Macaca mulatta: one gene and its partners. The protein of the gene in region 3 purifies or fractionates together with the protein of the main gene of each other region. This does not show direct contact. Links are inferred from orthologs where the notes say so. Each region holds a gene or a part of one and is shown on either strand. Other genes may lie near its edges.

What was found.
Region 1: the proteins of ARHGEF7 (region 3) and PAK2 purify together in Homo sapiens (co-immunoprecipitation; 5 studies listed by BioGRID and IntAct, with this or other methods). This does not show direct contact. The link is inferred for Macaca mulatta from reciprocal best matches to the Homo sapiens genes ARHGEF7 and PAK2.
Region 2: the proteins of ARHGEF7 (region 3) and GIT2 purify together in Homo sapiens (affinity purification with mass spectrometry; 6 studies listed by BioGRID and IntAct, counting the BioPlex papers as one, with this or other methods). This does not show direct contact. The link is inferred for Macaca mulatta from reciprocal best matches to the Homo sapiens genes ARHGEF7 and GIT2.

Annotation. Positions count from the first base shown.
Region 1 is NC_133407.1:2,356,585-2,360,234, forward strand, and holds part of PAK2 (serine/threonine-protein kinase PAK 2), read left to right. Parts: intron 1-1,084; coding exon 1,085-1,133; intron 1,134-1,612; coding exon 1,613-1,725; intron 1,726-3,324; coding exon 3,325-3,442; intron 3,443-3,650. UniProt on the Homo sapiens protein: Serine/threonine protein kinase that plays a role in a variety of different signaling pathways including cytoskeleton regulation, cell motility, cell cycle progression, apoptosis or proliferation.
Region 2 is NC_133416.1:117,161,214-117,165,450, forward strand, and holds the start of GIT2 (ARF GTPase-activating protein GIT2), read right to left. Parts: upstream 2,882-4,237; 5' UTR 2,741-2,881; coding exon 2,689-2,740; intron 1-2,688. UniProt on the Homo sapiens protein: GTPase-activating protein for ADP ribosylation factor family members, including ARF1.
Region 3 is NC_133422.1:105,627,399-105,631,048, reverse strand, and holds part of ARHGEF7 (rho guanine nucleotide exchange factor 7), read right to left. Parts: intron 2,551-3,650; coding exon 2,412-2,550; intron 1,606-2,411; coding exon 1,546-1,605; intron 808-1,545; coding exon 661-807; intron 1-660. UniProt on the Homo sapiens protein: Acts as a RAC1 guanine nucleotide exchange factor (GEF) and can induce membrane ruffling. Functions in cell migration, attachment and cell spreading. Promotes targeting of RAC1 to focal adhesions. May function as a positive regulator of apoptosis.

The DNA of each region.
Region 1 (3,650 bases), on a different chromosome or scaffold from region 3:
TGAAACAATCTCAGCTCACTGAAGCCTCTGCCTCCTGGGTTCAAACAGTTCTTCTGCCTCAGCCTCCCAAAGTGTTGGGATTACAGGTGTGAGCCACTGCACCAGGCCTGAATTTCTTCCTAACAGCTAAATTCAATTGCAGCACTGGTTTTGTGAAAGAGAATTGAAGATTATCTTATTATTTTTGAGCATGAATGAACAAGCAATGCCTATCCATATGGATGACCATCACAAATCCAGTATTGAGTAACAAAAGCAAGTTGCAGGATAATATGTGAAATGAAACTATATGACTTTAAAAATTAGGCAGGCCGGGCGCGGTGGCTCACGCCTGTAATCCCAGCACTTTGGGAGGCCGAGGCGGGTGGATCACCAGGTCAGGAGATCGAGACCATCCTGGTGAACACGGTGAAACCCCATCTCTACTGAAAATACAAAAAACATTAGCCGGGCGTGGTGGCGGGCGCCTGTAGTCCCAGCTTCTAGGGAGGCTGAGGCAGGAGAATGGCGTGAAACTGGGAGGAGGCGGAGCTTGCAGTGAGTGGAGATTGTGCCACTGCATTCCAGCCTGGGCGACAGAGGGAGACTCCGTCTCAAAAAAAAAAAATTAGGCAAAGTATATTTTATAGGGATAAACATCTGTGTCCTTTGTAGTTAAAAGTATGGAGAAATGCATGAAAATGATGAACATCAAATACAGGATAAACACCAAATACAGATCACCTTTGGGAGGAAGGAGACTGCTGTTGGAAAGGGCTCATGGGAATCTTCAAATTATTTATAGTTCTTTGTATCTTAATCAGGGAAGTGTATCCATAAGTATATGTTACATATATTTTTTCTTGATCTTTTTTCCCTACATTTTTGTAGGTCTGAAATATTTCAAACATAAGTTTTGGCCATGAGGATTGTCTCTTTTTCTTCCCCCACCCCCTTTCCTCGTGTTTTTGCTTTTACTCCTTTTAAGCATGTTAGGTCGTCACTGTTCTTTAATTCTTTTTCAGTTGCTTGAAGTGTAAAGTCTTTGGATATTGTAAATGCTGGTGATTTGTCAACCTTAAATCTGGCTGTTTTCTCCCTCTAGGGCTTCTGGTACAGTTTTCACTGCTACTGACGTTGCATTGGGACAGGAGGTAGCTACTTTGTCATAATCCTGGATGTTACCATTATTTTGTCATATAGGTGGAAACTAGATAAAGCTGGGAAGAATCACTAGGACTCTCTTTTAAGTTGAACATGTTGTAAGGATTGCTCTACGTGTTTTTATAGCACTTCTGTCATTAAGGGGAACAAAGAAGGAATTTTGAGTTTAATGTCATAAATAAGCAAGTATTTAAAAATTGTTTTCTCAGCTCAAGTGAAAAGAGGATTAATTCTTAGTGTTGGACTGACTGTGGGTGTATTAACTTCAAGATAAATCTAAAACTGTTTAGGCTCTATACATTACAAAGCATTGTGCAGAGGCAATGTGCAAGTAAAAGTACCACCTATGAGTAATAGCATTGTATAATATAATATACATGCCGTAAAGTAAGTTATTAACTGCTTGGTGTTTGTAATTTTTTAAGAGAATTCGTAAACCTGATTTTTTTCAATCCTGTTTTCATTATAGGTTGCTATCAAACAGATTAATTTACAGAAACAGCCAAAGAAGGAATTGATCATTAATGAGATTCTGGTGATGAAAGAATTAAAAAATCCCAACATAGTTAACTTCTTGGACAGGTAAATATGATTATTTCTTAAACATTGGGATAAAAATGTAGAAATTTTAAGTCTCATGGTTTGGGGGCTGGCTAGCCACTTTAGAATAAACTGTCAATGCTGAGAAATAAGAGGAGAGGTAAAAATAGCACACTGCAGTTTTAGAAGGTCCTTCTCTACAAGGATATCACTTGGCAAGTGAGAGAAGGCAGTTAAATGAAGGCCATAGCTGGTGGTGTTTATATTCATTGCAAATGACCTGAAGTGAAAACATGAATGGTTGGCTGTGATTCATGTCGTGACTGACAGGGGACTGGTCATATGGTTTTTAAACTTGTAGATCAATTTTTATTTCAAATGCTATCCTTTATGGACAAATTGTATGTCTATCAAAACCTCATTTAGTTTAGGAATTAATGTTAAATAACAGACCAAAAAGCAGAATAGAAAATGATGCATATTGGCCAGGTGCAGTGGCTCACACCTGTAATCCCAGCTACTCAGGAGGCTGAGGCAGGAGAATCGCTTGAACCAGGGAGGTGGAGGTTGCAGTGAGCTGAGGTCGCACCACTGCACTCCAGCCTGGGCAACGCAGTGAGACTCCTTCTCAAAAAAAAAAAGAAAATGATGTATATTACTACAACTGCGCTTGAAAAAGCAGTCACATATACGAATGAGAGAAGATTAGTTGAAAATGACAACAGTGGTTTTATTGAAGATAGAGGTGATTATAGGTGATTTTCTTCCATATTTAAATTTGTTTAGAATAAGGAAATGATAATACATTTCGAGACTTTAGCCCTAGTTATGGAGAACATGTTCATAGAAATAAACTTTTCAGGCCAGGCACAGTGGCTCATGCCTGTACTCCCAGCACTTTGGGAGGCCAGGGCAGGTGGATCATGAGGTCAGGAGATCGAGACCATCCTGGCCAACATGGTGAAACCCCGTCTCTACTAAAAATACAAAAATTAGCTGGCCATGGTGCCACGCACCTGTAGTCCCAGTTACTCCGGAGGCTGAGGCAGGAGAATTGCTTGAACCCAAGAGGCGGAGGTTGCAGTGAGCCGAGATCGCGCCACTGCACTCCAGCCTGGCAACAGAGCAAGACTCCATCTCAAAAAAAAATAAAAAATAAACTTTTCAGGTACAGTTCCCTGCTTTTTGAAATAACATTTCAAGTCAGCATAGTAGGGTGGTTAAGATAAGCCATGGGCTTTGGAATCGTTGATGCTTGGCTTCAGATTCTGGTTCTGTCACTTACTATTAATAGCTATGTGACCTTGGATGAGTCACGAACCTCTCCAAGCCTTTGTCTCTTTATCTCTAAAACGGGACTAGTAATTTCTATATTGTAGGATTATTTTAATCAGAATGAATCTGTGTGCATACTCACACTACAGTTGTGGGCAAACTGTAACTTAAAAATGATTCAGGGTCATAACCTCAGTTATTTTTCTGTGCTGTTACATAGCAGCTTTCCAATTTTCTTCCTAACTCTCAAGCTACCAGCCCTCTAGTTTCATTGTTAGGGTGTTTAATATTTGAATTCTTCAACATAGGATACCATGTGTTTAGAAAAAATGTAAGTGTGAGTGTATTTGGTATGTGTATTTTTAGTTACCTGGTAGGAGATGAATTGTTTGTGGTCATGGAATACCTTGCTGGTGGATCGCTCACTGATGTGGTAACAGAAACCTGCATGGATGAAGCACAGATTGCTGCTGTATGCAGAGAGGTAGGTGTGCCTCCTCCTTGATACGTTATGGTGATATGTGGTTAGCAAGAAGTGAACAAAAGGAACTTTTTCTGCACAGTTAATTGTTATTGTGGGAAGTGCTTTCTCTGTACACATTCTCTACAAGTTACTCCATCCCCATACCATTTCATCCTACACAGGCATTTCAGCCCTTTCCTTCAGGTATAAGATAATTTGGGAATGAATT
Region 2 (4,237 bases), on a different chromosome or scaffold from region 3:
GATCTCAGACAAGCTACTTCTTTGAGTGTTTTCACCATGGCTCAAATGAGAATAATAACATATCTCAGGATAGTGAGGATACAGAGAATCAGTGAGGTACCTCACACATAGTAAAGTAGTAACGTTAGCTGTTATATCTTTTCTAAATTATTTTCTCAGTAATACAGATATTTTCTAGATGTGAAATTCACGATCACTGGAAAAAGTTTTTGATGGGAAATATTTAAAACATTGAACATTTCATGTGACCACTATACTACTGTATTGAAAATCTCCATGGAGTTGTCAAGTAATTGAACTCAGAGTGTGATGTATTTGAAACGAACCAGATTCATTAAAAAAACAAACAAACACACAAAAAAATAGAATATTTAAGAAGTGATCATGGTTAAATGTTTGCATAAAATAGAATCAAAATAATTCAATTTATTATAACTGTCACTATTACTATATCATCCTAAAAAGCAGAGATTGGAAATGTCCAGATGAAGGAGCTCTACAAAGATGCATAACAACACTGCTTCCTGCGGTATAGTACTGTCACTAATGGCCAAAAAAAAAAGACTGTTTTGAAGCATACCTTTGGTTTTCACTTATCATTCAGAGGATTTGCACTATTCTTTTTTTAGCAAGTATTTAACACATATTAATTAAGACAAGTATTCGACTAACCACTTTAGCATCCTGGATCAGAATCCCATGGAAAGAATATTAGAATGATAACGTGGTAAAATAAAAATAAGTTTGTATGAATGAGATTGGGTAAAACCCTTTAAGTTCATCTGGAGGCTTTATGCCTGGGCTCCAGGGACACCACAAATGAACTTCAAAAATGTCCGTGACTCCCCTAGACAAATCTTAGGTAAATTCGTTCACGTGCATTTTAGGGGAGAAGGCCTTAGCATTCATCAGAATCTCAAAGGGGTCCCTAACCCTACAGGTAATTCTCTCAGTAGGGTTTTGCAGAAAAGGCAGCACAAATTCCAGGCTGCTCAATTTCACAGAATATTTCAAGGTAGCCTACTTATATTCAAAACAGGAAGGAAGTGACTCAAGTCTCTGCAGATCAGGCGTATGAGACAACAACTAAAGCGATACAATGGAAGAGAAAATGTTCTGAAATGCACAAAATGCTGCAAAAGTATATTTAGGATGGCAATGGAGGAACAATTTTGCTTTGCCCCGTACCCCATCAAGAAGCAAAACAATATGCATTCCAAGAGGAAGTTAGAAGCTGGACACATGTGAATCAAACACATCACAGAAAGTTCGACTGAAAACAGGCAAGAAAATAAGGAAGTGGAACAAATAACATTTTTAGAGAAAACGATGGAGTTTGAGTTTGTATAACTCACACTAACTTGGTTTAGAAAACGCTTCTTTTTAAACTCCTCCACACCCCCTCCCTATCTTCAAAGGAAACTGGTAACACCTGCACTGTACCAGCCATTAAAACCACCACATGAGGTTTGAGTTATCACAGTTCTATTTACAATCAGTCTTCACTTCCAAATGACAAGCTGAAGATCAGAACAGTTGCAAAGCCAGTGGTGTTCAATGATTTGATTAAGATTGTTTATCGGACACTATTGTGCCAAGAAAGCCATGTTACCTTCGAATTAACTCAAAGCCAATACATCCAAGCACCTAAAACAGCATGTAATAATCTATCCAGAGACCTGACAATTCAGTTGCAATTGCTGAGATCCGCTTGATCTCTAAATGTGAATATTATGTATGAACAGTTATGCATCATTATGAAGGAATGGTTTAGCGTTTCAATGCCCCTATATTGCTGGTGATTTTGCGTTTGTTTCAGTTGTAATCAACGTATGATTTAGATAGTCAATTCTAGCTTTAAGGGACTGCAAGTGTTCTATTGTAGACAGCATAACGCAAAAAAGAAAAGCCTTAGATGATATGATCCTACGAGTATTCATTGAATCCTCCTCACCACTGAGCGTGATACTCCCGATTATCCTCATCGAAAAAAATGAGGAAATCAAGCCAAGTGACCAAGTGAAGTCACCAGCCCAAGGTCACCCAGAAGCAAAATCTAGTTTGAACCCAGGCCATTCAGATCCTCAAACTTGAGACACGCACTGCCTCCTAAGTGCTGGTTGTGTCTGGAAGACCCCGATCTACTGGCAATTCTCCCCGACAGAGTAGCTGTCGGATGTCAGGAGCGGAGAAGTCATCTACGGGGACCCTCTGGCGAGACTCAGGGAGTGTCATCCTCCCCGGGCAGGGCACCCAGGCGGAGAGAGGGTCTAGTGGGAGGTGACACCTGCAGCCTCTGGAGGCTGCAGCCGGGAGGACGCTCGCATTTTACTTCTGTAATTGGCTTTCCTGTGTATTGCCCAAGCCCCTTCCTGTTGGGGGAGCAGCCCTGGCCCCCGTCACCTCCCCAGCTGGCCTGGGACGGAGGGAACGGGAGGGAACTAGAGGGAACGAGAGGAAAGGGAGGGCCGCGAGGTACTGGGAGGGCGGCGGCCCCCTGCCCGCCAGGCTCTGACAGGCCTGGGACACGTCCTGCCCCAAGGCCGCCCCGGGACCTCTTCGTTGAGACCCTAGTAGCGGGTTGCGGACGCTTGACCGCAGGATGCCGCCTGACCTGAGTGGGCGGCCCCGGGGTAGGGGTCCGGGCCAGGAAAGCAGAGGGGAGCGGGCCCGGCCGGTGCGACTCACCCGGCCCGCTGCAGTCAGCGCACACCTCGCTGCTCCGGAGCCGTTTCGACATGGCTCCCGCCTCCCACCTGCCGGGAAGTAGAGGCCCGGGGACAGCAAAGGCGGCGGCGGCGGCGCTTCCGCTCTAACGGGTCCCAGCGGCAGCGGCGCTGACGGCGGCGCCTCTCCCCTCAGTGCCTTGCAGCCTTGGCATAGCACGCAAGCGCGGGGAGGCGCCCTTCTGCGAGTGTCAGGTCATGTGACCGGAAAGGGCACGCTGCCTTGTCGCCATCTTGAGTGAGGGCAGGAGACTGCTGGAGCATCATCTGTCCTACCTTTAAATATTGAATTTGGATCTCCCTCTCTGGCAGAGATTCCCCTCGTCCCAACTGATTAATACCAGGGGAAGCAGCAATATCTTGTGATGAGAACCCTGCAGCCACAACCTTCCTGAGGCAATCAATGGTCAAGTTCATTGATTCATTCCTTTATTCAACAAATATTTATCGGCCGGGCGCGGTGGCTCAAGCCTGTAATCCCAGCACTTTGGGAGGCCGAGACGGGCGGATCACGAGGTCAGGAGATCGAGACCATCCTGGCTAACACAGTGAAACCCCGTCTCTACTAAAAAATACAAAAAACTAGCCGGGCGAGGTGGCGGGCGCCTGTAGTCCCAGCTACTCAGGAGGCTGAGGCAGGAGAATGGCGTAAATCCGGGAGGCGGAGCTTGCAGTGAGCTGAGATCCGGCCACTGCACTCCAGCCTGGGCGACAGAGCGAGACTCCGCCTCAAAAAAAAAAAAAAAACAACAAATATTTATCGAGTACTTACCATGTTTTATACAATGTCCCAGCCACTGGAGAAACAGCAGTGAGCAAAGACTGAATTCCTAGTCCTTATGAAGCTTGCATTTTACTGAGGTAGATAAAGTAAAATAAGAGTGTATTATATGATTCCAGGCTAGGCGCGGTGGCTCACTCTTGTAATCTCAACACTTTGGAAGGCTGAGGCAGGCGGATCACTTGAGGCAGGAGTTGGAGACCAGCCTAGGCAACATAGTGAAACCCCATCTCTACTAAAAATACAAAAATTGGCCGGGCACGGTGACTCAAACGCCTGTAATCCCAGCACTTTCTGAGGCCGAGGCGGGTGGATCACGAGGTCAGAAGTTCAAGACCAGCCTGGCCGAGATGGTGAAACCCCGTCTCTACTAAAAATACAAAAATTAGCCAGGCACAGTGGCAGGTGCCTGTAATCCCAGCTACTTGGGAGGCGGAGGCAGGAGCTTGAACCCAGGGGGTGGAGGTTGCAGTGAGCTGAGATGATGCCATTGCACTCCATTCTGTCTCAAAAAAAAAAAAAAAAAAAAAAGATTGGCCGGGCGTGGTGGCGCATGCCTGTAATCTCAGATACTCAGGAGGCTGAGGCGTGAGAATCGCTTGAGCCTGGGAGGTGGAGGTTGCAGTGAGCAGAGATCACGTCACCGCACTCCAGCCTGGACGACAGAGTGAGACTGTCTCAAAAACAACTCAACAATGACAACAAAAATAACAAAAAAGAATATATTAGA
Region 3 (3,650 bases):
CTCCTTAGAGTCTCATGTTCAAAAATGAGTCATTTAGCATGTTTTGATCATGTTATTTTTGCAGAGGTAGAATAAAATTCAAAAAGAGGTGCCTGTTTAGTGACCCACTGAATGTATGTCAATGTGAATCATGAAACAAACTGCTCGATTTTCACTGTGTGGGTGGGTATGTCCCAAAAATCTGAGTTGATCTCTCACTTAAACCAAACCCGTAAGAAAACTGTGACTCCTGTAAGCATATGTCAGCTAGCATACTTTCACAGGAAAGTATAATGACCTGAAAGCACTGAGAGCGGCAGGTCCCTGTGACAGCAAGCCTTGGTACAAAGTTGCTGGCCAGATAAGCGCATACAGCTCCGTGCAGATGTGTGCATGGGACTCCTGGCAAGTCTTTCCGCATGCTATCCTTCAGTTCACGTGGGTTTCAGGCCAGACTGACTTCAGCTGGAACAAACTGGTCAACAAGTCCACACTCAGCTCTAAGCCTCTCTAACAGACCATAAGCCTCTCTCCTGTGTCAAGAATAAAAAGTAGCTCACAAATTATAAGATAGAGCTTCTATTAGACGTTTTTCATTGCCTGAGATGCCTTTAACATCTTCTGTTACGAGCTCCTAAGAGTGGGACAGAAACCCTGATGCATACATGTGGGCAGCAGTACCTCGCTTCCAGCACACTGGATCAGGACCTGGGACATGTAAGTGACGTTGCCCAGAGTTTTAATGTCATCGCCCTCCCAGTTCCGGATGGATTCCGTCAGGATCTGCAGCTCAAGTTCTTTTCTTTTCCGGACTTCTTGACATTGGGCCTGAGAGACACAGAACAACACTGTTAACAGACAGAAACTTCCAAAATCTTAAGTTCTGGCCACATTGCTTTGCATCGTCCTTAAGACAATTATTGCTTTATATCTTACTTCTTCAGACAGATAATCTGTTGAATGATTTACTTAATTATACGGAATTGAAAGTATTTGCTTGAAAGTATGAAATCAAGTCAAAAGAAGCAACGCACACAACTGCTCTGGAATACTAAGTATTATCTTAGAAAAATATAGCAGATTTTGCCACTTGTACAAAAAAGAAAGGTGGACAGAACAAAACTGTATTTTCATTCTGGTTTTGTTAGTGTTTGCCAATATAGAAGACTGAAGAGAAGAAACAAAGCATAACTTGTGCTATAAAATAAGGCATATATTTCGAAAATGCAGTTGGTAAGACAACACAACAGCAGAGAAAATGGAACCACCATTGTTCTGTTTTGCAATAAATCATTAAAGACAACACGAATGAAGGGTAAAAAAATGTTTGAAATAATTTTAAAGTAGATCTAACATCAATTACACTGCGATTTTAAAAATTTTAAGTAATTATTCTATCAGAGTCCGCTAAAAGGAGTTTACCAGCCATAGAATGCCGACTCTGTTTTTCTTTCATGTCAGCACAAGTCATTTTTTAATCATTTGACTTTTTCAGTTGATAATTCTTTTACATTCATTTGTCACAATGATGCCTGGGGGGAAAAAACAATATGCTTAATCACTTACTGAAAGGTTTTTGAAGGCAGCCATAGATTTTTGAATATCTTGTCTATCTGTATGATAATCCTTTGAGTAAAAGAAACATACAATTAGCTTTCGTAAGGAAAAGCTTTTCTTAAAAAGGTACTTTCTACAGACCAGCTTGAAACTTTTCTAATACTTTTCAACCCTTAATATTCCCTTTTTCCCTCAGCATTAAAGTGTCAGTCTTTCAGAAAATCATGAAGCCATCAGACTTGGGGGAAACATACGTTGAAAGAGAACAGTCACGAGCAGCAGGGGTGGGGAAGCCAACACTTGCTTCATCAATAAAGTCTTATTGGAACACTGCCGCGGCTCACATGCAGTATCTAGAACGGCAGAGCCGTGGAGCTGTGAAGAAGACCCTACAGTCTGCCCCCTTACAGAAAAGGTTTGCCAACTCAAGCCAAGAGAGTAACTTTAACCCAAATTTCTGCTAGGATGCAACCTGTTATTCAAAATTAAAAGAGCATAATCATTCATTAAATGATTAGTACAGTATTACCCTATAACTTATGCACACATTGTTTGTAGCTGATGATCCAGATAAGACATCTCAACATTATCTGAAAATCAGTTCTCATGTTTCAGCTTTTGGAAACTTTTCAACCAGCAGCAGTGGGTAAAAGAGAGATAAGTGGTAAATGTTTTTTAATAGAGCTGGAGTAAGGAGAAAAACATAATATTTAACAAAATCATTTTGACAATCCACTAAGTAAAAATTCTTTGTAAACTCTGTTGGTTCTGGCTTCTAAAATAAATCATGAATAATACTTTCTTTCACAGTTAAAGTCTGACCATGCCACTAACCCTTGGTAAGGACTCCGAGTAAGAGAGTGAAAGTGCGGTACCTCCATGTGTCTCTCGAGCTCTTTGAGCAGCGTAGGGTATTTATCCAGGCGCATGAAGGGTTTGCTCAGGCCCGTGGTCAGCACGAGAATTCCAGGGCTGCTGGCACCTTTGGTCTCCATGAACTCCCCCAACTCCTCACTGGGCAGCAAGTGGCAAGGGAGACACTTGTGGTTAGCAATGAGAGGCAATGGTGGCTCTCTGATCTCCACGAGCAACAGCCAGAATTTATGAAACATGAGTGTTGCTTTTAACATCTGGAAGGCTCCAGCTTTGATCCCAAATCTGCGCTGCTTATCTGGAAATGCCAAAGGGGATTCCCACCCCTGAGGGGTCCCATTCCTGCTCTCATATGAGCAAGAGTAACTACACACAGCACAGGATGTGTGGGTCTCCATGAGATCCTACTGACGCCGAGGCCCTCTGGCACATCAGTGCCATGCAGACATGTCCAATGGAAACGTGCACGCTCAGAGCCAGAATGGAGTCCAGTAATCTCAGTCTCAAGGTGGTAAGAACAAGGACTCAGCTGCTCCGGTAAAGAGCTAGAGCACGCCAATGGCCGTCATTCCCAGAGGTGAGTTCGTCCAGCAAGCAGGCCCCACCTAGGTGCTGCCAGCACTCAGCCTGGGAGTAAACAATGGCTCTCGGGGTGAGGAGTGGGAGAAGCAGCAAGAGAAGAGAGCAAACGTTGATTTACGCTTCAGAACTTCAAAAGCTTTGTTACGTTTAATCCTCACAACACATGAGGAAGGAAGGGGTCCCTGCGTGCAGACAGCGAATGCTGATTTATGCTTTAGAACTTCAAAAGCTTTGTTACATTCAATCCTCACAACACGTAAGGACGGAAGGGGTCCCTGCGTGCGGACAGCGAACGCTGATTTATGCTTCAGAACTTCAAAAGCTTTGTTACACTCAATCCTCACAACACGTAAGGACGGAAGGGTCCCTGCGTGTGGACAAAGAAACTGAGTGCATATCCCAAAATTAAGGAGTTAGAAAATTTTAGATCTTCCTGTGTTCCTCTTTCACCATTCCCTTCACGGTGCCTCGCCTGGCTTTCCCTACAGTGGGTCCTCACGTGCGTCACCTTTGTCCTCAGTTCCCACAGCTGTGGCAGAGGACACGGGCAGGATTCTGAGGGGTCCAGCTCTTCACCCACACGTCTGTTAAGGCTGACAGTCACCTGACCGCGACACCCCTTCACTGGCGATCTCTGAGGTCTCTGCCAGGCCCTGGGT